2 linked regions of the Daphnia pulex genome follow. Each later gene encodes a partner of the first gene's protein in a complex. Links are inferred from orthologs where the notes say so. Each region holds a gene or a part of one and is shown on either strand. Other genes may lie near its edges.

Region 1 (11,078 bases):
TTGTCCCCTGGGTCTTGGACTAGTTTTGGGTCACGTTATTAGAATCTTCTCGAAAACTAATTGCAATTCTTGGTAATTTGAACATATATTTTTCTTCTTCTTCTAAATATTCCTGAATCAAAAGGGGGCGACAACAGCTTCTGCAGCGAACAGGGAAAAGATGAGACAAAAAAAGAATTCGGAAAGTTTTGTGTGTTAACAAAAAAAGAGAAACGAAACAAAAGAAGCGAGGGAGGACAAACACGAATGGCTTTTGTTTCTTTGTCCCCAGGTATTTTTTCCTCTCCACCGCTCATCCAACACCCGACATGAAAAAAGAAATTCCGCACATGCACACGCACAGGCACACGAAAAATCCTTAAATTGAAAGCGAAATTCCTCCGGATTGTATTAAATGAAACATTATCTTGATTTTCCCCTAGTAGCGCAATTTCAACCTTGAATATTTTCACCACTCTGCATCACCGTTGGCCTTTTGAAAGACGTAATCGCGACCGTTAATGTTCATGATGCCGTCCTTGAGATGAAACTTCCACCTGTTTCGACTTCTCGTAATCTACAAATAGAAAAAAAAGTCATTTAAAACATTTCAATTCCAATTCGAATGCTAAAATTCAAATCCTTGCCTTGTCGTACTGGCACACGACGACGTTATCAGTTTCAAATAACACTGAGGGATCATCATCAGTCACATCGTCTTCAGAGTTGAGTGGCTCCTCGTCTGCGTTCTCTTCGTTGTCTGCGTCAATCTCCTCGTCGTCATGATCGTCCTCTTCTTCCACGTCGTCATCGTCATCATCTTCAACATCGTCGTCGTCGTCCGAAGAGTCTCCGGGTCCATCCAACTGTGTGACTCCTCCATTGTCAGTTCGCGATTGGCTCCGTGCAGCTGTCGACTACAAAGAAAAGTAATAATGCATTGTACACACATTATTATATACACTTTCGAGTGGATTCAATTTCAACCAATGGTACCTGCAACGCGTTATTAATGTGCTGCTGCAAGACAGTCGTGGCCATTTCAACTGGAAGAGAGAGAGCCGCCGTCACAGCCGGTGAACTCAGGATCGTTTGCAGCTGCGCTCCCGCTGCGCCACCTGTGACATTATTACAAATAGTAAAGAAATTAGATTGGAGCTAGTACGAACGAGATTCAATTGGGAAATAACCTTGAAGAGCATGAGCTGGAACGTGAACAGTGATGCTCTTGGCTGCTGTATGACCTGCTACTCCAGCCTGAGGAGGAACAGTGATTTGGACTGGCACCGTCCTTACTGTTGTCGTAGCAGGGGCTGCAGCTGCTGCTGTTGTTGCTGCACCTGTAGCTGCATTAGGGGTAGTCACTGGGGTTTGGGCTGCTGCTGCTGCTTTAGAGAAAATAAAAACAAACAAACAAAACAATTAATAATAATGCACTCAATGTAACAGTATACCCAACTACCTGGTTGCTTTGCCGTAGTGGCTGCCTGTTGAGGTGTAGAATTGTTCGCAGGAGCTGTAGAGCTAGCCTGCTGACCTGCTTTTGACGGCAAAGAAGACCCTTTTTTCATACATGATAAAGTCTCATAATCGATATTGGATACTTTGTTGCAGTTTGCTTTGGAGAGAAGTTTCAGCAGGATCGGTCACAGGGTCGATTGCTTTGCTGGACTGCAATTTGTTTTCCCAATTCTGCTTCAATTCGAGAAGTACAGCCTCATCGATTCCTTCGTCAAGAAACGCCTCTCGAACCCCGTTGATAACATCTTCAATAACGCCACGATACAGTTTCGACTACAAAAAAAGAAATATAAAAGTCCTTAATTAGACCAACGAGGAGTGAGATCGAGCTCGTGGAGTGGAATCGTCAATGCAACAACAGTTTCCAGGTACTATTCCCCATGAAATATTATCATAAAGTAAAAGGTAAATAAATACCACGAGTGCCTGATTGGCGGCCATTCTTTAACGAAATTGAATTTTATTTGATTTCAATTCCGGGAGGGCTTCGTTCAACAGGAAGCCGACATGAAAACTAAGACTGACGCGGCAATATATATCGAAATGCCCCCGATGGCAGCGCCACGAAGCGTGATTTTGGCTAAGCATAGCATCTAGCGGTCGAAAAAAACATTCTTTCTGCTAAAAGTAAAGCCGTTTGTTATCGTTTCGACACGTTTGAATCGAATGAACAAGAAACGTTTTTATTAGCGGCCTAAGTCTCAGTATTCGTTGATTTTCATCAACGAGATGGATGAAAAATCCGAGATTTTGGTTTTAAACGCCGAAGATGAAGATACCTTCCAAAAGTTGTATTCCGAAGGTCTCAAATATAGCAAGCAATGCTCGGAAGAAAGCATGCCAGTTCCAAAGTTCTATACCAAAGTAAGCATAACTTCCAATTGATTCCCTATAAATTTCTTATGTTTTTGTTACACAGCTTCCTAATCATGAAAACATGATTAGCCTTAAACTGAGAGAAGAAGCTAGAACAGCATTCCTTCAGAAGAAGAGCAAAGAACTCCTCGATAACAATGAACTGCAGGTTTGTTAATGTCATTGCCAGTGTTTGTGCTACTGGTAAATAAGATTTTCATCCTGTCTTTAGAATCTCTGGACTTTACTTGACAAAAATCACAGCCCTCCTGCTGGTTCTGAGCAGATGATCAATTATATTGATTTTCTCAAAGTAGGCAACATAGCTGGTCCAAAATATAAGTAAGACATGTAAATATTTGATTGGGAACACCAAGTTATTTTTTGAATTCCCCTATACAGAGCATTCTTTACACCAGATGTATTTGCAAGGCTATTGCAGAATGATATTCATGGCAGAATATCAACCATGGCAGTGTTCAATTACATCATGAGGAAAGTTTGGTTACAGCAAACTAGAATTGGTCTTTCATTATATGATGCCACAGGACAAGGTCTGCTTACTGAAATGGTGAACATCAGCAATATGTTTTTTGTTTTTGCAATATGTAATTTACTTATCTATTTTTGTTTTTCCCAGGATTTAGAGAACTACATAACTGAACTTATCCCAACATTGCCACAGTTAGAAGGGCTTGAAAAGTCATTCCATTCGTTTTACGTCTGTACCGCCGTACGCAAGTTCCTCTTTTTCCTAGATCCATTAAAGCTAGGCAAAGTCAGGATACAGGATATTCTCGCTTCTGGTTTTCTGGACGAACTTTTAGAGGTATTTAGTATATTCCTGATTCTTTTGTCATTCTTCTCGCTAAAAATATTATAATTCATCAGCTACGGGATGAAGAGCTGCCCAAAGATGCACAGGATTCAAACTGGTTTTCTGCGCCCTCCGCTCTGAGAGTCTACGGTCAATACTTAAATTTAGATACCAACAGAAACGGCATGCTTTGTCAGGAAGAGCTCAGACGGTAATTTACCATATTTCAATTTGCAGTACGTACATTTAAGATTTTTTTTAAATTTAATTTTCAGATTCGGAACTGGCACGTTGACGCGAGTTTTCATTCAACGAGTATTCGAGGAGTGCATGACCTATGAGAAAGAAATGGATTATAAAACGTACTTGGATTTCGTATTGGCCATGGACAATAAAAAGGAACCACAAGCACTTCAGTATTTTTTCCGTTTGTTGGACGTCAATCATCGAAACCATCTCAACACTTTTGACCTCCATTTTTACTTCAAAGTATTAATTTCCTCATTTGACCTTTTGACTTTCTTATCTTGAAAAAAAAAAAAATGCTTTGCAGGGGGTTCAAGAGTTGATGCAGCAGCACAAACAAGAAGTCGTTGCTTTTGACGACGTCAATGATGAGATTTTCGATATGGTGCGTCCTGCCGATCCGTCAAAAATCACTTTACATGATTTGATTAACTGGTAACACACAAAGTTCATTTAGAATTTTTTTAGAATAAGATTGTCATTGAACGTTTTCTGGCTCAGTGGATACGGTGAAACTGTGATCAATATCTTGATTGATTTGGATGGATTTTGGACATACGAGAACCGTGAAGCTGTTGTCGTAACAGACAAGAATAACCAAGAGAAACAGGACATTTGAATTTGGAATTCTTGTACATAGAAATTGTGAGTGTATTTTTTAAAAAAAAGCAAAGAAGTAGCAAGATCGCGGAATGGATTGTAGGTGCGATCTCATCACCATTTCCCTCTTTTGGACCAGTCTTTCGGTGTCCAGTGCAAGCATTTGGGATCGATGTGTAATTTCCATTTCTCTTTGTTTTTTATGCAATTTTTCATCGCTTCTTCGTTCAGAATGAGTACGTACTGCCCCTTGTAGTAATTGATGAGGTTCAAATGCTGTAAGGTGGACACCACGTCCTCTTTTTTAATGCTCGTCATTTCGCAAATTTCGCTATTTAAATTAAAACGAATTCGTTTGTCAACGTGAGCTCTAGAATGAAGTAATTTACATCACTTACTTGATGGTAATTTGAGGACGTTCACCTTCACTGGATGGTTTCATATTCATCAGAATATCACAGATTGTAAAAGCCCAGTAACTGCGATAAGACAGCAACCCTAAATCGGACAGAGGTTTTTCTGGCGAGCCCGTTTTGCCTTCGAACTTGGACAGCTCGTAACCTTTACGTAAACAAAAATGGTTTTAAAAAAATATTTCCCCTTGGGTTTACGATTCTGTACGCACTGAATTCAATAAGAAGTTTTCCATATCCTTTCCGTTGATAGGGTGGTAATGTTAAGATGCAGGCGACATTGTAGTCCTCCGAGCTTTCTTTCTCTTTGCTAAAGTAGCCGACGATATGAAAACCTCGTGCATCCACTTCAGTCATGACGTAAAAGAGGAACGGATCAGTGTCGTAATACAGTGTCTTGTGATCAAGGAACAGTTTCGCTAGCAGGCATAGGTTCTGAGCGTATGCTTTATTTTTACGGCCGTCGATTTCAAAAAAAGAAATTGTCTGTTTGCGGTAAACTTCATTGCCTGGCGGATGTCTAAGATTGCACTTCATCTGTAGAAAAAGTTTAAGGGTTGATCATCCAATTAAAAATATATCGTAAAATTTTAAATTACCAGATGACGTTCTAGACATTTTTCACTTTTCCGGTACTTGAGACAAAACTCGCATATGTAAATACAAGCTTGGTGAACCATTTCCTAATTTTTGAAAAAGAATAGTAAACATTTCGGATCTTTACGTTCGTTAGATGATGACATACCTGAGGGTAGGGTGCGAAATACCAAGGTTTTATTCTGTGTCTGCCGAGTTCAATCATTTGAATATTTTTCATTCGTGTTACAACGTCATCGTGATGTGTAACAAGACTGCCCGACTGACGTGGCCCTGGTGTAGTCGGTGCAGGGGTGGACGGTGGGGCCGGAGAGTTAGCATCTCCTACCTCACAAACTGAATCACCTATGCAGAAAATTTTAGTTTTAATAATCATTTATATATAATAAATAGATTGTAGAAAAAATGACTAATTACTTGTAGGAACAGCACAACTATCGCTAACTACGGTGGGTGGCAGAGTGGGGATTGCTGGTAATTCTTTTTCAATTTCTATAAAAATAAAATTTAAAAGAATTTATGAAAAATGTAAAGAATTAATGAAATAAAATAACTTTACTTATAAGTTTCTTGGCAGGTGGGATTGGAATAATGGATCCTGGACTGGGCTCTTCTTTTTCTCCAATTTTACGTTTTCTTCCATTTCTCTTTTGTATTGCTGCAGCCAGTAGAGCAGACCCATTGACAGTAAGGTCTGATGCACTGGATGCAGCTAGTGGGGAAGAAGGACGGGAAGAACCAGTTGTTCCTCCAACTTTTTTAGGAGTACTCATGCCTGTGCCTACTTGAGTTCCATCTTTTCTAGGAAACTGAATTTTTCTCGTATCTAAGAAATCTTCTGAGACCCAATCATCAAGTCGTTTGTTGACTAGAGTTGAATTAAAAATTTTGTAAGATGATGTATCGTTAAACATAGCATATACAAAACTTACAGTCGATGTAATGGACATAAAACATCCTGATGTTGCAGATATCTTTGACACTGAGTACTTCGGCTAGAGCTAAATGATAACAAAAGAAAAACCACAATTAAACTTTCAAATCTATAAAATGATAACAAAGCAACAAATGTTACGCCAGTCTTCGGTGTTTCTCATCCGTACAGGCAACCGACAGCCTTCAACAACAGATGCCTAGATAATAGAATAAACAAAATTAAACATGGTTTCTAATGAAATAATGTAAAAATTCATACAGTTGAATCTGAAAACAGATCTTTATCTACAATCTCTTCTTTCATTTTTGACAATGACTGTTCGGTCTTCATTAGAGAAAAAGCTTTCAAAACAACAGTGCGCGGCCATGAGCGACATTGCCGCTTTTGCCGGTTGGAAATGGTAGTCTTCTGCTAGCTCTCTCACAAACTGGACCGATCAGTCCCATTTCAAATTGTAAAATGAAATTTCGGTTATGAAAATTCTCGACAAAATTTAAACCATAAAAGTGCAAAAATGTCACAGTATGGATTTGTTGCTATTCATCTTGGAGCAGGCTGCCATAGTTCAAAATCTGAAGCTATTTACAAAAAACTTTGCAAAATAACGTGTGAAAAGGCATGGCTTTCTATTAGTGATTCATGGTTTCATAGTTTGACTTGATAAGTTTTTCCCAGGGAGCAGCTTTATTGCAAGAAGGAAAATCTGCACTAGATGTTACGTGTGAATTGGTTTGCATATTAGAAGATTCACCACTAACTAATGCAGGATATGGCTCCAATCTCACTGAGAGCGGTGAAGTTGAATGTGATGCAGGAATCATGTTGTCTTTGAAACATCAAAGAAACACACGATTTGGAGCAGTCTCATCACTTAAAAGTATTAAAAATCCTATAATGGTAGCCAAAGAAATCATTTTATACCAGAATGAACCAAGACTTCTTGGTAGAACACCTCCACTGTAATTCAAAATACCATTTGCATCACTTAAAATGAGTGGTTAAATTAACACAGCCTTTTTTTTAGTGTTCTAGTAGGAGAAGGAGCGTCTGATTTTGCTAAAAACCGAGGTTTGAATCTTGTTCACAATAGCACTCTTATATCTGACAAAGCCATGAGAAAGTATAAGAAATATAAAGAACGGCTGGAAGTATCCAGAAAAGCTTTATCAAGTGGGCTAAAGATCACAGTGCAGCCAAACCCAAGTCAAGTAATATATTTGGTTTCCTAAAGTAATGTTATCCAAATATCATGGTTATTTTTTAAATCTAGGATACAGTAGGAGTAATTTGCATAGATACGAATGGTGACATTGCAAGTGCATCGAGTTCGGGAGGAATTGCTATGAAGCTTCCCGGCCGAGTTGGACAGGTTTTCCTTTATTCCTTCTTGTCATTTTAGTAGTCATTTACAATGTGTATATTGCGATAGGTGCCAGTTTACGGCTGTGGTTGTTGGGCGCAGCATTCCAGCTCCGGTGGTGTTGCTGTGTCAACTTCTGGTTGTGGCGAGCAACTCATCCAAACAACCTTGGCCAAGAAGCTTGGTCAAACCATATTAGAGCGAGGAGATCCGGCTTTCCACTTGAAAGAGCTCATGTGTGACGAGTTCATCCATTCAGAAATGCTGTCTGATGACGTCTATGACCGGATGGGTGGTGTTCTAGTGGCGTATTATAGCGAAGATTCGATAGATTTCAACATGGCCTTCACAACTGATTCGATGGTCGTCGGTTTCATGAGCACTAACCATGAAAAGGCTATTGTTCGGGTGTCTCGAAACACGTCGCTTGCGACACCGACAAATGCAAATAACTCATCACATTCCAGTAGGTTGACTATGGAAGGCTTTATTGTGAAACTAATAAATTAAGGAGAACAACAAGCGTTACATCTTTTTCCCGTCGTTATCCTCCAAATTGTGAGTAATTTCTTTAGCAGTTTGCTTGACCATGTTCTCGGTGGCATTTTTCACGACTTCATCGAGCCGATAGAGATCTTTAATGGATATTTCTCCTGTTCCGCGCTCGAGGGGTTTAGGCTGTGAAGGATCAGGTTTCCACCCGATCATGTAAATAATCTGAAACGTTGCTGGAATAGACCCGTCTTCATTTCCATAGAGTTCTATTGATCAAGAGGGGTATTAGCAAAACTAAGAAAAAAGAAGAAAATGTCAAGAAACCTTTATAGATGGCTGACGCAGCGAACATCGTGTCCCGATGCAAATGCAGTTTGCGGATCCACGAAGCGTTATTTTCGCCCATTCCTTTAAGATCTTCCATTAGTTCGAACATTGAAGGGTAGCCTACGCTTATTTCGTCAGTGTCCTATCCTTTTACACCGTTGTTAGTCGAAATTAATAATATAACATCTTTGGGGGTGTAATATTTCTCACGATGGTTAGCATGGTGAATCCAGCGGAGTTAAGAAGTCCACCAATGTCTCGGATTGCAGCGAAGGGTGATATGTGTGCAGCGAAACCCTGCAGTGATACAAACAAATTAGTTCATTAAACGATTAAAAAGTAGTAAAATCATAACATACTCCTTCCCGTTCGGTCTCTCCTAGTTGCAGTGAACCCCTCAGTTCGTACAGGGTTTCGCCTCCAAAAAGAGCGCCAATAAATACACCGTCAGGACGTAAACATTTCATAATTTGAGAGAAAGTGCTCGGTAATTGATTTACCCAATGTAAACTTAAACTACTCATAACGAGATCAAAGCTCTCTTCTTCAAAGGGAAGGGTTTCTTCGTCCACAACCATTTTCCGACAATTTATGGTCGTATCTTCCGGTATCGAGGCTTTCTCTAAAACTAACGCTGAATGATCGCACATGACCAACTCCTCCACTGCATCCTAAAATTGAAAAACAAGATTAGTTAAACAACTCAAATATTATTAAAACCTCCTACTGACAACCTTTGTTAGATGTCTGCTCACATGTCCATACCCACAACCTAGATCCAGGCCTTTTTTGAATTTTCTGTTGATGTCATACACTCGATCTGATAATCTGTTGCCAACCTAAATTATTTAATCTCATAACATATGGCCACACAAATATTTTTTAACTTTAAATACTTCATCTTTGATGTAGTTAAATTGATGATAATCCTCATTCTTTGCAGTTCGGTCCCTTTGCAATTTCTTGGCCAAACGATCAAACACATTCATGTTGTGGCTGTTTTGACTCATCCTTCTGGTCCCATTATATAAGTAACCTATTTCATAAATCAAGACATCAGTTAAAGTAAGGTTCATTTACATGAGCCTACCATATGCTATGGTTGGAGTTAGCTCAAAGAGTATTAAGAAACAGTTTTAACTTTAGCCTTGTGCAAATACAACTAGCAGCTGGCGGAACTGATGCAATTACATGACGGTCTTATCGTTACTGTCAGACAACAAAACCGTCATCGTCTGAAAATTCACTTAAATTTTAAAATACATAAATTTATATAGTAACCTTGCAATTGAGTCGGACAGACGAGTAGTGATAAACGCTTTATGGACATATTTTGTTGTTGCTGAGCTAAATAGCTGTGAGTAGCAAACAAAAAACAAGAAGAGGATCGAATATAAAATATGCCCCCAGATCCCTCCTTTATCGCATAGCAGACTATGCATGTGTACAGATGCGCGTGAAACAGCCTGAGGCACTGAAGTAGAAATCCCAGCTGTTGGCTCTGTTGTCTGCTGTGTATCCCATGACAACATAGACCAGCTTCAAAATTTTCACAAAATTGTTCACCACCGTTCCGTGTATACGTGGCTAAAGTTTTGTCCGACTATTTACTCTGGTCGTTTGCAGTTAGTTATTGATTTCGTGAAATTTGGTAAGGAAATGAAACTTCCTTGGTGTTTACTTTACCAAGCTTCATTGCTTACAAAAGATCTAATTGTTTGCAATTTCCATTCCTTTGTTTCATTGTGTAGCTTGTCTACTTGTAACAAAATGCCTCATTCCGCCCATGATGTGCCTTTGGGTGTCGCAATAATTCGAAAATTTGGAAGTTGTTTTTGCCCAAACTTTAGAGGATCAAGACCGTTCATGTAAGTTTATTTTTGAAAACACCAAGCTGATTGACGTAATGACATTCTATTCTTTCCATAGATACCGAACATCTATATTGTTACTAACATTCTTCACCTACACAGCATATCACATGTCAAGAAAACCAATCAGTGTTGTAAAGAATGTTTTGAGTCAGAATTGCAGTGGTTTAATTCCTCCACCTGGAACACACATTGACGATGACAACAAAGACTCTTGGTGTGATTGGGCTCCATTTGGTGAGTTGTTAGTCATTTCATGTTTTCTCAAATTTAAAGTGACCTTGATACTCATGTTGTTTCCAAGATTTTCAATGTACATGCTTTGTACATGTGACATGTTCATGTTCCCTCCTCCAGTTTGACCCTCTTATCCCCCTTCCTATCCCCCTCACCCCAACAAAAATAGAGATGCCTAATGGGAGAATGTGGTGGTAAAAAAAACTTAAGTTTTATGAACTGTAAAATTCATGGTTTAAGGCGATTGAAGGCAACGGATATATTGACAAAGCTTTCGGCATTTTTCTTCCTTTATTTTTCTAGATGGAAAAAATTCACAGACCTTGCTAGGTACCCTGGATTCGGCCTTCCTTTTTGCCTACGCAGCCGGCATGTTTCTTAGGTGAGTTTGATCCCAATCCCAAGAGAGGGACTTATTTCCGCCCTCTTTTTTAAGGACCTATATAAAATCTATAAAAATGAAAAACGTTTTCCTTTTCTACTCCTCCTCCCTACACCCTATATTCCACTTTCAAAAACAATTTCTGTCTCCTCCATTATTTAAAAAAGAAAAAAAGGAGAGCGCATTCCTATGCGTCAGACTGGGGTTTATCTTCAAACCATATCGTCCGATAAATAACCCCCATCCCCCTATCATACTTCCTTCGTTAAAGTATGGATGCACCGGAAGACCCTAACCAATCAGCAACTTGTTATGTGTAGAAATGTCGGTAGCGTATATACCACAAAATCAACCCGATCCAAGCGTTGACTCATAACTACTTCCGCGAGTTTGTTATTTAGGGGGGTAATCTAAGACGTGTATACAAGACTCCCCCTTTTG
Region 2 (11,247 bases), on another chromosome or scaffold:
AAAAAAAAAACTTTATTTCCTCTCTCGCAAAGTGTAGTGGCACGCCGCAAGTGGCGCCACCAACAACAGAAAAAAACCAGATTCACTTAATTGAGTCATCCAGCCCGGATTTTTGCAGGAGCCTGGGTATTACCCTAGCTCCAAATTTAAATCGATTCTTTTTCAGATACATCCAAGGGATTTCAAACAAAGTGGAAACAAAAAACGGAAACTCATCCGTTCCACGAAACCCCAAGGAAAACAGGAAAAGGAAACGGGCAAATCAGTCGATAAGTGATCGAAAAAAAAAAAAAAAAAAAAATTAAATTAATTCTCTATTTCATCTCCTTTTCCCCAGTCAACAGCTCTTGAAGAGCTACACAACCAGGAAGAATGGTTCAGTCAATGAAAAACACAAGGTCAGCCACCAAAGGCCACATAACAAGAGCAATAACCCGGATCAACGGATTTGCAAATCAAGTAATGGCCCAAGAAGATGTTAAAGAACTAGAAACCTTAGAAACAAGATTGAAAAGTCTCTTCGAAAGCTACCAAAGCGCAACAAAAGAAATCAAGGAGAAATTAATAGCGACCAAGGCCGCGCAGGAGGAGATTGATGGGGATCTGGACACCTTTCTCCAAGTTCAAGATGAAGTGTCTGGAGCAAGATCAATCATCAAGCAGAAGAAGCAAGAATGGTTGGACGACGTGAAAGAAAAGCAAGAGGCAAAGAAAGAAGAGGACAGAGACAAACGATTGTTAGCGCTCTTCCAACAACAGGCAACAAGCCAAGCAGCAAATCAAGCGGCAAATCAAGCAGCAAATCAAGCAGCAAATCCAGCAACAAGTCAAGCACAGATGGCGCAAATTATTGCCCAAATCATGGCGGCCATTCCGGCACCTCCCGCGCCAGTAATCAACGTGACGGCAGCACCAGCCCCAGCTTCAGCCGTACAGTCGATACGATTGCCGCAGCGACAAATTAAGCACTTCAAAGGAGACGTACTGGAATGGACCCAATTCTGGGAATCCTTTAACGCAGCTGTCCACTCTTCATCTCTTTCAAACGTCCAAAAATTCGATTACCTCAAGGAATATCTTAAAGGTGAGGCGTACCTGTTGGTTAACAATCTTGAATTAACAGATGCGAATTACCAAGTCGCAATCGACGAACTGAAAAGGATGTACGGGAAGACGGACGTTCTAATCGACGCGCACATTGAGAAACTGGATGCCTTGCAGCCCGTAAAGGACGGGAACGACGTTCCAGCTCTGAGGAGCTTCCAGCTGAATCTCCAATCGCACATTAGCGCGTTGGAAACGTTAGGAGTCCCCACAAGTTCCTTTGGCGGACTCCTCGGAGCAAGATTAATCAAATTAATTCCTACCAGGCTCCAACAAGAATGGGCAAAATCGCCAACAAACAAATCAACGGACATCGAGATGGTCATCAAATTCATTGGAGATCAAATCGACGCGGCCGAAAGGTTCAACCGAATCAAAGGTGTGGAAAAGGAGAAATCGTCTCCAGCTCCTAAACAGCCCAAACCGGCAAATCCACAGCCGGCAACAGCATCACAATTGGCAGTAGGAGCCAAAGCAAGTCCAGCTCCTCAGGTTAAATCCGCCTTAAAAAATAAAAACGTTAAATTTAACCCAAGTTGGATTGTGTGCGAAAGGCCCTGCATCTTCTGCAGCCAAATTCACTGGCCGACAAAATGTCCGAAAGGGCTGACGGAAAGGAAAAAGATAATCTTTGATTTGAAAAGGTGCGTCAACTGTTTTGGAGACAAACACGCGCTGAAGGATTGCACATCCGCCCGGAACTGCAACAAGTGCGGAGGGAGGCACCACACCGCTCTCTGCGACAAAGGAGACGTCAGAGTCACCAATCCCACAACAGCAGCAATAATCGTGGCCAGCGATCCAACTTTGACAACCACAGCCTGTGCAAGCAGCTTTGGACAATTGATGCTGAAAACGGCAACAGTCATCATCAGCGGCCAAAACGGTAACGAAACAAGAGCGATTTTATTTGCAGACGACGGAAGTCATCGTTCTTGGGTGCTGAAATCACTCTCATCGCAACTTAACATGAAGACAGTAGCGGTGGAAAACATCAGCACAAGAGTGTTTAAGAAAAAGGAACCCAACAAGCCCGAAATGACAAAAAACGTCGAAATGCAAGTAAGGGGCACCTGGCAAGGCGCCCCAAAAGTTACACTAATGGCTTTAGAATCGGATCACATTTCAGATACCGGCCCGTACGTAGGATCCGAATTTGCAAACAGCCTCTGGATCCAAAACGAAAAATTGGCCGACGACAGATTCGAGATGGCACACACCGAAGATCAGCCAATTGGAATTTTAGTCGGAATGGACCAGATGTTCCAGATCATGTCGAATGAAGCCGCCATACAGAGTCCATGCGGATTGCGCGCGTTTCAAACGAAACTCGGAAGAATGATTGCTGGACCATCTCAAGAAGCAAAATCGAAGACAGGAACTCAAGTAATCCAAAATTTAATTTTAACATCAAGTTACCCGATTCCACAGATTACGTCAACATTCGCGACAAGTAGCCAAAAAAGAAAAATCCTTTCAACTCAAGCAAACAAAACTCCGATGGAAAAGGAGACTGGAACGGCCAGTCCCCAAACTACGCCAATAGGAGCGTCATTCTCAGATGCCCCAATCGGATCCAGCGGAGAAGAAGATAGTAAATGGTTTGAGAAGGAAGAACAAGTTGCTGCTAATTTCGACCTTTCTCTTTTCTGGAAAATAGAAAATTTTGCGAACCTTGAAGGCGCTGATGCAGTGGAATCGGATGATCGCTTCGATTTCTTTGACGAAAAAATAACGAGATGGCCAGATGGAAGATACTGTACACCGATCCCTTGGACAACTGACAAGTGGAGACTTCAGAAAAATCTCCCGTTGGCCACCGGAAGAGTGGAAAGCACAATAACAAGATTGAGAAAAAATCCAGGAGACTTGGTGAATTACCACGCAGAAATCCAAAAGCTCATCGACAGCAAATTCGTCGAGGAGGCGAACATGGACTACGAAGAACTTCACACCTATCTCCCACATCATCCGATCTTCAGAGGCGACAAATCAACGACGAAAATCAGACCCGTCTTTGACGGAGCAGCAAAAACGAAATTTGGACCAAGTCTGAACGACGTGTTGGAGACCGGACCAAATCTCAATCCCGATCTCCTATCAGTGCTATTACGCTTCAGAAAGTACGAGATTGCCTGGATCGCCGACATAGAAAAAGCCTTTCTAAACATCGCCCTGCAGCCGGAAGATGCTGAAGCAATCAGGTTTTTATGGCCCAGGGATCCAGCAGTGGCTGGATCGCCTCTTATTGCCTACAAGTGGAAGAGAGTGCCCTTTGGCCTTAGTTCTAGCCCCTTTCTCCTACGTGTTACAATTAACAAACATTTCAAATCACTAAAGTCTCGTTTTCCAGAAACTATTCAACAGCTGGAAGAAAGTTTGTACGTTGACGATTACCTCGGCGGAGCAAACAATTTATCAATCGCCAAGAAAAGAGTCGATGAGACGGACGAGATCTTTAGTGACGCCCAACTCAACATGAGAAGCTGGGCAACCAACAACGAAGACCTCAAACAACACCTGAAGGAGAAAGGACTGTCGAATCAAGTCGTAGGCCTACTCTCCCCAGCCTTGGACGGCCAACAGAAGGTGTTAGGAATCCGGTGGGACACCGGATCCGATTCGTTCAAATTCAACCCAGCATCCATCATCCAAGCAGTAGAAGAAGTGGGATCGGAAATCACCAAAAGAAAGATACTCAGTATCTCGGCAAGGATTTTTGATCCAATTGGATTTTTATCTCCCACTGTACTTTTGTTAAAGATTATTTACCAGAAGCTCTGGGAAAAGGAGATAGGTTGGGACCAAGCAGCGCCAGCCGATATCCAAAAATCTTGGAAGATAGTGATGACTGGTCTCGCCGATTTCACCGAACTACAAATTCCACGATGGATCGGACTATCCGAAAAAGTCACTTCTCACGAAATACACGTCTTCGGAGACGCTTCTGAAGCAGCGTATGGAGCCGTAGCCTACGCCCGACTCCAAAAAGGACAAGAAGATCCACTCATCATCCTACTGGCCAGCAAAACGAGAGTTGCACCCCTACCTAAGAAAAAAGTAACTTTACCGCGTTTAGAACTGCTGAGCTCACTTTTAGCCGTACGTTTAGGTGAAGTCGTAAAAAATGCAATGCAAGTCCAGTATTGGAGAACTATCTACTGGTCAGACTCCTTGGTTGCACTAGGATGGATTAGAGGAGAGCCGAACAAATGGAAACCATTCGTCCGAAACCAAGTGGAGACGATACGAAAATTTTCACAACCCGAGTGGTGGAGACACTGTCCAGGTCTCCAAAATCCGGCCGATCTTGCCTCGCGGGGAGCGCCAGCGCCAACGCTGGTAACCTCAACTCTTTGGTGGAACGGCCCGATTTGGCTCAAAGGAGAAGAAACGGAATGGCCAGATTCTCCCAACGACCAAATTCCACAAACAATCCAGTCCGAAATGGAATCGGAAGCTAGGAGTACGACGGTCAGCACAACAGCAGCCATCGCAATTCCAACAGCCTCCGTCGACTGGAATCTCGACAAAATTTCCACCTGGAATCGACTGTTAAGACGTACAGCCTGGGTCTCACGATTCCTCAGCAGGAGTCAAAAGAAGCTCAGACCTCCCGGTCCAGAACGAATGGAGTCGATAAAGGCAATTGGACCAGATGGAAAAGGAAGTGGAAAAGTTATCCGGATTACAAGATTATCCAGAGAGGAGCTGGATGAAGCGGAACTAACGATCTACAGACAGCTCCAACGAGAGCGGTATCCTAAGGCGTTTGAATCGCTACAGTTAGACAACACAATCCAGCCCAAGGAGAAAATCGCTGCACTTTTTCCAATCTGGGACGCCAGAGACCGTCTCGTTCGAATCCATGGGAGAGTATCACTTGCCCTAAGAGATAGAAACATCGATCCCCCAATTTTGCTTCCTGCATCACATATAGTAATCACTTTCTTAATTACAGACAAACACGAGTCACTACTACATGCAGGAGCAAAAGTAACACTATCCGAGTTAAAAGAAAAATTCTGGATAGTTAAAGGACGACAGCAAGAACTAGCAGCCCCTCTTCCTTTAAACCGACTCAAACATGCGCAATCTTTTCACGTTACAGGAGTCGATTTCGCTGGACCACTGCTGTACAAACCAGCACAGCGAAGGAAGAAAAGGAAAGCTCCACCAAGCGTCCAGGATCCGACGCCAGCAGACGATCCAACTGAAGAGCGAATCGAGGAGCCACCCGCTGAAGGAGACGCTCCAATCGAAGCTCTAATCGTAGGCGAAGAGGATTCAGTCGAAGAAGATGTCGAAATCCAAGACATCTTAATAACAACAACTAAAGCTAAGAAAACGAACCATCTTAAAAGTTATGTTTGTCTTTTTACGTGTGCAGTCACTCGAGCGGTTCACTTGGAACTACTACCCGATATGACGGCGCGTTCCTTCTTACTAGCCTTTCGAAAATTCGCAGCTAGACGAGGACCCGTCTCAGTGATGTATTCGGACAACGCGCAAACGTTCCGATGTGTCGACCGATTCCTGAGAACTATTCACGCCGATCCCATCATTCAAGACTTTCTCGCGTCCAGAAAAACCCTTTGGATATTTTCCGCCAGCCTAGCGCCATGGTGGGGAGGATTCTGGGAACGGATGGTGAGGAGCGTCAAGGATCTGCTGCGACGCTCCAACGGTCGAGCCTGCCTTGACTACATGGAACTGGAAGCGAGTTTAGCAGAAATCGAGAGCGTAATCAACGCCCGCCCACTCAGCTATATTGGGGAAGGAGCTGACGATCCACTTCCGATAACTCCTAACCAATTTCTAAACAACAGACGTTCTACTCGTGCCGATCCGGAGCCAGCCGTTAACTTGCTGGATCCTACATCGACCAGCATCGTACTACAAGAGATGGACAAGAACAGGAGGGAATATGTCGCTGACATCTGTGCTAGATTCGTCGACGATTATCTACTCCAACTAGACAACTTCCACTCCAAAGGAAAATCCGGAAGGAAGATCCGCCTAGGAGAAGTCGTTGTTATCCACGACGAACACTCCAAACGACTCATGTGGTCTACCGGAGTAGTGAAGGAACTGATTCCAAGCCGCGACGGACTCATCCGTTCTGTCATGCTCAAGATTCCAAATGGTAATTTAATTAATAGAGCCATTCAATGTCTTCACCCTATAGAGCTGCGAGAAGATCTCGCCGAAGACGTCGAAATTGGAAATCCGGAACCGATCCAGGAGCCGGAAGAGGATCCAAATCCAACTCTGCCAGAACCAGAAATCGATCTCGCTATCGGAGACGCTATGCCAGCTCCCGAAGAACCGGAAGACGTCGTCGAAGATGTCGAGCCGGATGCTACGGGCTCTGGTGGGGAGTGTGTTAGGAATATTCCATTCCAACAGACGACGACGAGATCAGGGCGCCGCACAACAACACCGGCGCACCTACGCGACTATTGCCTTGGGGGCCCCCGATAGGTGGCCCCAAATTCAGTCGTTGGTCCCCAAATTCAGTCGTTGTTTCCCTACCCCCCTATTGTTTATTCCCCCCCAATTTACTGTACAATATTCAGTGTGTTAAAATAGACGAGAGGTAAAAGACACGGTTTTGTTCGTGTCTAATTTATTCAACTTGGAAACTGTAAGTAAACGGCCCGACACGCCGAACATCCCTATTACATTTTCTACAACTTATTCGAGAGTTACTTTGAACTTGTAAATCCATTTCGCGCATTTCAGTAAATCGATCCCTCAGTTCTTGGGGCAAATGCTCTATCACTACAATGGGGAGATGGTAATTTAAAAATTTTAATCAGGGAACTTTATCATCACTTGAAACACTCATCATACTTTCCAAATAATCTTCTAAGTACAACATTTTGGTACAAATTGATTGAAATCGACAATAAAATTTATTTAAGTTTTGAGAAATTTTCTTTTTCTTATACGCTTTTGACGGATGGCTTGGATCACTGCTTCTTTTCTGCAGTTGATCTACAGGAATCTAATGTGATGACGCGAGCGAGTGAATGTCTGCAGATTCCCTCTAGCGAGCAATTTGGTCACTAGGAGTTGTGCTCACTTGGTCTAGTGTTAGCCTACTGCCGCCTACTGCCAGTCCTAGTTATACTGTAGGCAGCGTACGTACGCCGCAAGGTACCCGAAGGGAATGTTAAGGGTATTCTAGTTGGTATAGTAGTATTGGTATAGTTTTACAAAGACAGAGCTATAGAATAGTTATAGAATAATAAAAATATTCTGTTATAAAGGTAGGCCTATTATTAAGATGGATTAATAACATTTAAAAAAAATTTATGCCCTTAGTTTCCGGAAGATTGTAATAAGCATAAATCGAGAAAGAGATTAAAAGAATATTTCCGCGTGACTTTGGTGCGGCGGAGGCTTCGCCCCGCCACCCCACGTCACACCGGATCTTGTTAAAATTAAATTTAAGTAACTACCTATCAGCACTTCTGTTACTGGAGATTGATAGCGTTCGGTGATAACATACAGTGACTTCTATTCTATCATACAATAGTAGTCGATTGTCACGTTACGTTTATATCCCTGTCACATGTCTCTGTATTATCGTCTGCTGTAACAGCTATTGAAATTCTGTCAAAAAGTAACCAGAACTCCGTTTGATCAAATGCCTGAATTGATTGCAGCCAAATTTTCAGAATAGATGTAAAAAATTGTAAGCTACCGATTACTGCCATTGAAATGCAATAAAATTGTTGATTACAATCAATAATTGCCAAAAACTAGTGCATCCATCTATGTAGTGTTACGAGAACTGAGGGTGCCCATGTAAACCATACTGCAAACGAAACTTTGACCAGTAACCCTTCGGGTAATTTGTAAATATTGAAATATTTGAAATAAATAACATGAAAACTAATTAAAAGTGACATGTGTGCTTTGACTTTGTCTTGTCTTTGACTCAACTCATGTGTCTATGTGAAAGAGCCGTCTGAAAAGCGATCTAAATTGGGCTCCGAAAGTCCGAAAAAACCTTCTTAAAAAATCCGTGTCTTCGGAGTTCGGACGTCACCTTCTTTTTACGAAAAAATTTCGTTCCATCTTTAACAACACTCAGTAGATTTGAGTCCAATTTTGTATTTAGAACCTTTTAGAGATTGAATTTAACCATTCAGGCTTACAGAGAAATTTTCGCACGTAGCAGTGAATCGAATTGGTAGCCTGCCGCTGGTGTGATTTCCATTAGTGAGGGAAATATCTAGTGAGGGAAATGTTTATATTAAAATCAAAGATTAAGTTAAGTTAAATTATCTTCATTATACCTCATACCAGATTCGTTTATCGAAATATCTGTACTTGTCCTCCATTTCGACAGTTGCTGAGCCGAAAAGAAGAAGACGATCCATCTTCATAACGAAATACAACTTCGGCATTCTTCTGAAATTTGGGGCTTCCTGATCCGTTGAATTCGAACCAACCATCGTTATTCCGGCGACCTGTCACTCCAGCCGCAACAGCTGACGAACTGATCCTACCTCCGGTGTTAACGACTCCAAGGATTGCGTAGTAATTATTAGTAGTTTCGGAATTGGGACGGTAGTAGCAGATGGCATCATTTCCGTTTAAGGGGTTTCGGTTGGTCAACGAAACACTACAATCGACGATACCGGGTGACTTGTTCGAAGTGGCTCGTCGCCAGGTTTTGCCGATCATGTCCACCCCGCAGGAATCGCTGTTCAGGTTGCAAGTGCTGGCCACAACGGCATCAATCGGTCCGTTTCCGCAGTCGATCCGCAAGACTTGGCCGCACAATCCTTGACGCCACTTGAGGTTTCCGAGTGCTTGCGATTGTCCAAGAGCAATCGCGTCGGTTACCGCGTAATCACCTTGCGGCATTTGACATCCGCCAGCATCAGATTGCTCCGCCCAGAAAGTGCCTTTGACATTACGATTGCCGGAATTTTCATTACTTCCTAAAAATGTTGAGATTTTAATAATATTTAATATTGTAAGACTTTGTGACCAAAAATATTCAAAATGCTTTAAGTGCACCTGTTAGGAATCCGCATATGCCTCCCCAACCGCTTGTCTGTTTACGGGAAGGGATGCTTGATGCCTTTTTCAAATAGCAGATTCCATTAAAGTGACTAAAGTGGTTACATCCATTTGTTTTAATACAAAGGCCGCCACATTGGTCGCCAGGAACTCTTTGATTTCCGATATCATTGCCGGGAAAGTCGCAATCAAATTGCCATTTAACTTTGCCCCCGTCACCGTCGTTCCACGCCTGTGCGTCCACTGGATCAAATATTATCGACAGCACAACAAACGGGACGAGAATGCATACGAGAACTTTCGAAATCATCGTTCTCCTGCATCAATTTAAAAACATGTTATTATGATGCATGTTATCGTTTTTTTATGCGAAATTATGAAATCTGGAGTGCTTACCTGAACAGCTCTGATGAGAGGCGTAGTAGTGTGTCAAATTTCGACTTCTAGCTGTGACTAAGTTCTTATTGCGAGAAAACAATCCTTTTATACAGTAGCGCTTCAGTGATCGGGCCACCTGGTGCAATGACCCTAGATGGGTGTTGGCTCTATAAACGAGCCACAGATCGCAGAGCTTCCACGGTGCGATTGATAGAAACATGTGTCAGACAGGTAGAATTTGACACAACAACGATACTGACACATCAGTTCAAACAGAGAACATATGTCATGAACAACTGTCCACTCAATCTGTTTTTAATGCTCATCTCTTCGTTTGCACAGATTTCGGCTCGACAATTTTGGCAATGGTTCTCCTAGCCCTTTCCTACGTTATAAAATATGAATATTCATTATAAAAACGAGACACTAATATACTGTGATGCATTACCTTCGACTTCTTCAATCCGCTTCATACAAACATTGATGTAGGCTATTGCTTCCTCGCAACTTGGCGAGCCCAAATGAAGAAACCGGAAGTCGGTTGAAGATCCTATATGTGGAATGTGGCTCATAAAGCATACTTTACTGACCGAATATGCCCATCGCAATATGATAGTAAATTTAACATTTTAAGTAAAATGAAGAATGAAAATTCCTCCCACCTTGACGTTTCGTGCGAGTTCATTACGATTCATGTCGTACTTGACACGATGACTATGACTGGTCACGAATGAAAGAGCGGAAGAAGATAGTATGGCGCGCCGAATCCATCACAAAAAAAAAATTTTAAAAATTAAAAAAAAAAAAAAAGGCCACCGCAATCTAGCGGTCAAATTTGGAACTACCCCAGTAGTGGTCTTTATCTATGGTCTCGTCTGGTAAGTTTTCGAAAGTGACAAGTTCTTGTTCTTGTTGTTCTTTCTTGGGAAGTGTCAAATCAGCAGATTTTACTGCTTAACTTAACTGTTACGCACTTTAATTATTCCAGCCATCGACAAGTTATTTTTATACTTATTTTAGAGGTATACACTAATATTGCAATAAAATGATAAAAAGAGGCGCACTCATCGTATTAGAAGGATGTGATCGGTCAGGAAAAACTACTCAATGTCAAAAGGTAAAACATTTGTATTAATAAACATCTTAAAAATCAAATAAACAAAGTGCATTTGTTGCATAAATACCACAAGGCAATCAGGTGGTTACAAGACAGCAACAAAGAAGCTCATCTAATGAGATTTCCAGGTAGCGAAATGTTTAATATTTTAATGTTGATATACTTCTTTAAATGATCTCAAAATCCTCTAAAATTTCAGATCGATCAACTATCATTGGTAAATCTCTACCACAATTTCAACCTAATTAACATTTAGATTGAAAGTATTCTTTTTACATCCTTACAGGGAGTCTTATCAATAAATACTTGGAATGCAGCACAGAATTAGATGATCATACAATCCATTTGCTCTTTTCAGCCAATCGATGGGAACTGTTGTACGTCTTTTTGAGTTTTCTTGTTTAAATTTTTCTATGCATTTTAGGTTATATATTTCTACACACAGGCCAGACATTAAAAAATTATTGCAGAAAGGCACAAATGTAATCGTGGATCGTTACTCATATTCAGGAATTGCCTTCTCTGCCGCAAAACCTGTATATATAACAAGGATTTTCAGCTAAAATTATTCTTGTAAAACTCTAACTTGCCTAATACTTTGTTAA

What was found. The genes of interacting proteins can lie anywhere in the genome.
Region 2: histone acetyltransferase Tip60-like (region 1) and inhibitor of growth protein 3-like share a complex: the UniProt entries of both Homo sapiens proteins name them as parts of the SWR1-like complex. The link is inferred for Daphnia pulex from reciprocal best matches to the Homo sapiens genes KAT5 and ING3.

What each region holds. Positions count from the first base shown.
Region 1 is NC_060018.1:12,582,676-12,593,753, reverse strand, and holds histone acetyltransferase Tip60-like, read right to left. Parts: upstream 6,347-11,078; 5' UTR 6,296-6,346; coding exon 6,224-6,295; intron 6,162-6,223; coding exon 6,104-6,161; intron 6,030-6,103; coding exon 5,961-6,029; exon of another isoform or gene 5,897-5,960; coding exon 5,588-5,896; exon of another isoform or gene 5,521-5,587; coding exon 5,446-5,520; exon of another isoform or gene 5,374-5,445; coding exon 5,177-5,373; exon of another isoform or gene 5,115-5,176; coding exon 5,031-5,114; exon of another isoform or gene 4,969-5,030; coding exon 4,644-4,968; exon of another isoform or gene 4,580-4,643; coding exon 4,417-4,579; exon of another isoform or gene 4,350-4,416; coding exon 4,133-4,349; 3' UTR 4,046-4,132; downstream 1-4,045. Other genes in the region: transcription initiation factor IIA subunit 1-like, read right to left, coding at 449-556, 627-896, 976-1,097, 1,170-1,370, 1,442-1,540, 1,584-1,773, 1,918-1,941; serine/threonine-protein phosphatase 2A regulatory subunit B'' subunit gamma-like, read left to right, coding at 2,230-2,364, 2,420-2,524, 2,588-2,697, 2,758-2,926, 2,996-3,184, 3,247-3,383, 3,448-3,661, 3,726-3,853 and 1 more; threonine aspartase 1-like, read left to right, coding at 6,480-6,581, 6,641-6,924, 6,990-7,173, 7,236-7,334, 7,395-7,835; arginine-hydroxylase NDUFAF5, mitochondrial-like, read right to left, coding at 7,851-8,086, 8,145-8,289, 8,358-8,444, 8,507-8,818, 8,882-8,986, 9,044-9,183, 9,429-9,477; glucose-6-phosphate exchanger SLC37A2-like, read left to right, coding at 9,918-10,015, 10,077-10,255, 10,559-10,637. UniProt on the Homo sapiens protein: Catalytic subunit of the NuA4 histone acetyltransferase complex, a multiprotein complex involved in transcriptional activation of select genes principally by acetylation of nucleosomal histones H2A and H4.
Region 2 is NC_060019.1:7,717,273-7,728,519, forward strand, and holds the start of inhibitor of growth protein 3-like, read right to left. Parts: upstream 7,122-11,247; 5' UTR 6,989-7,121; coding exon 6,961-6,988; intron 6,889-6,960; coding exon 6,817-6,888; intron 1-6,816. Other genes in the region: uncharacterized protein LOC124190484, read right to left, coding at 8,431-9,065, 9,145-9,457; thymidylate kinase-like, read left to right, coding at 10,571-10,642, 10,716-10,770, 10,842-10,859, 10,929-11,019, 11,088-11,178. UniProt on the Homo sapiens protein: Component of the NuA4 histone acetyltransferase (HAT) complex which is involved in transcriptional activation of select genes principally by acetylation of nucleosomal histones H4 and H2A.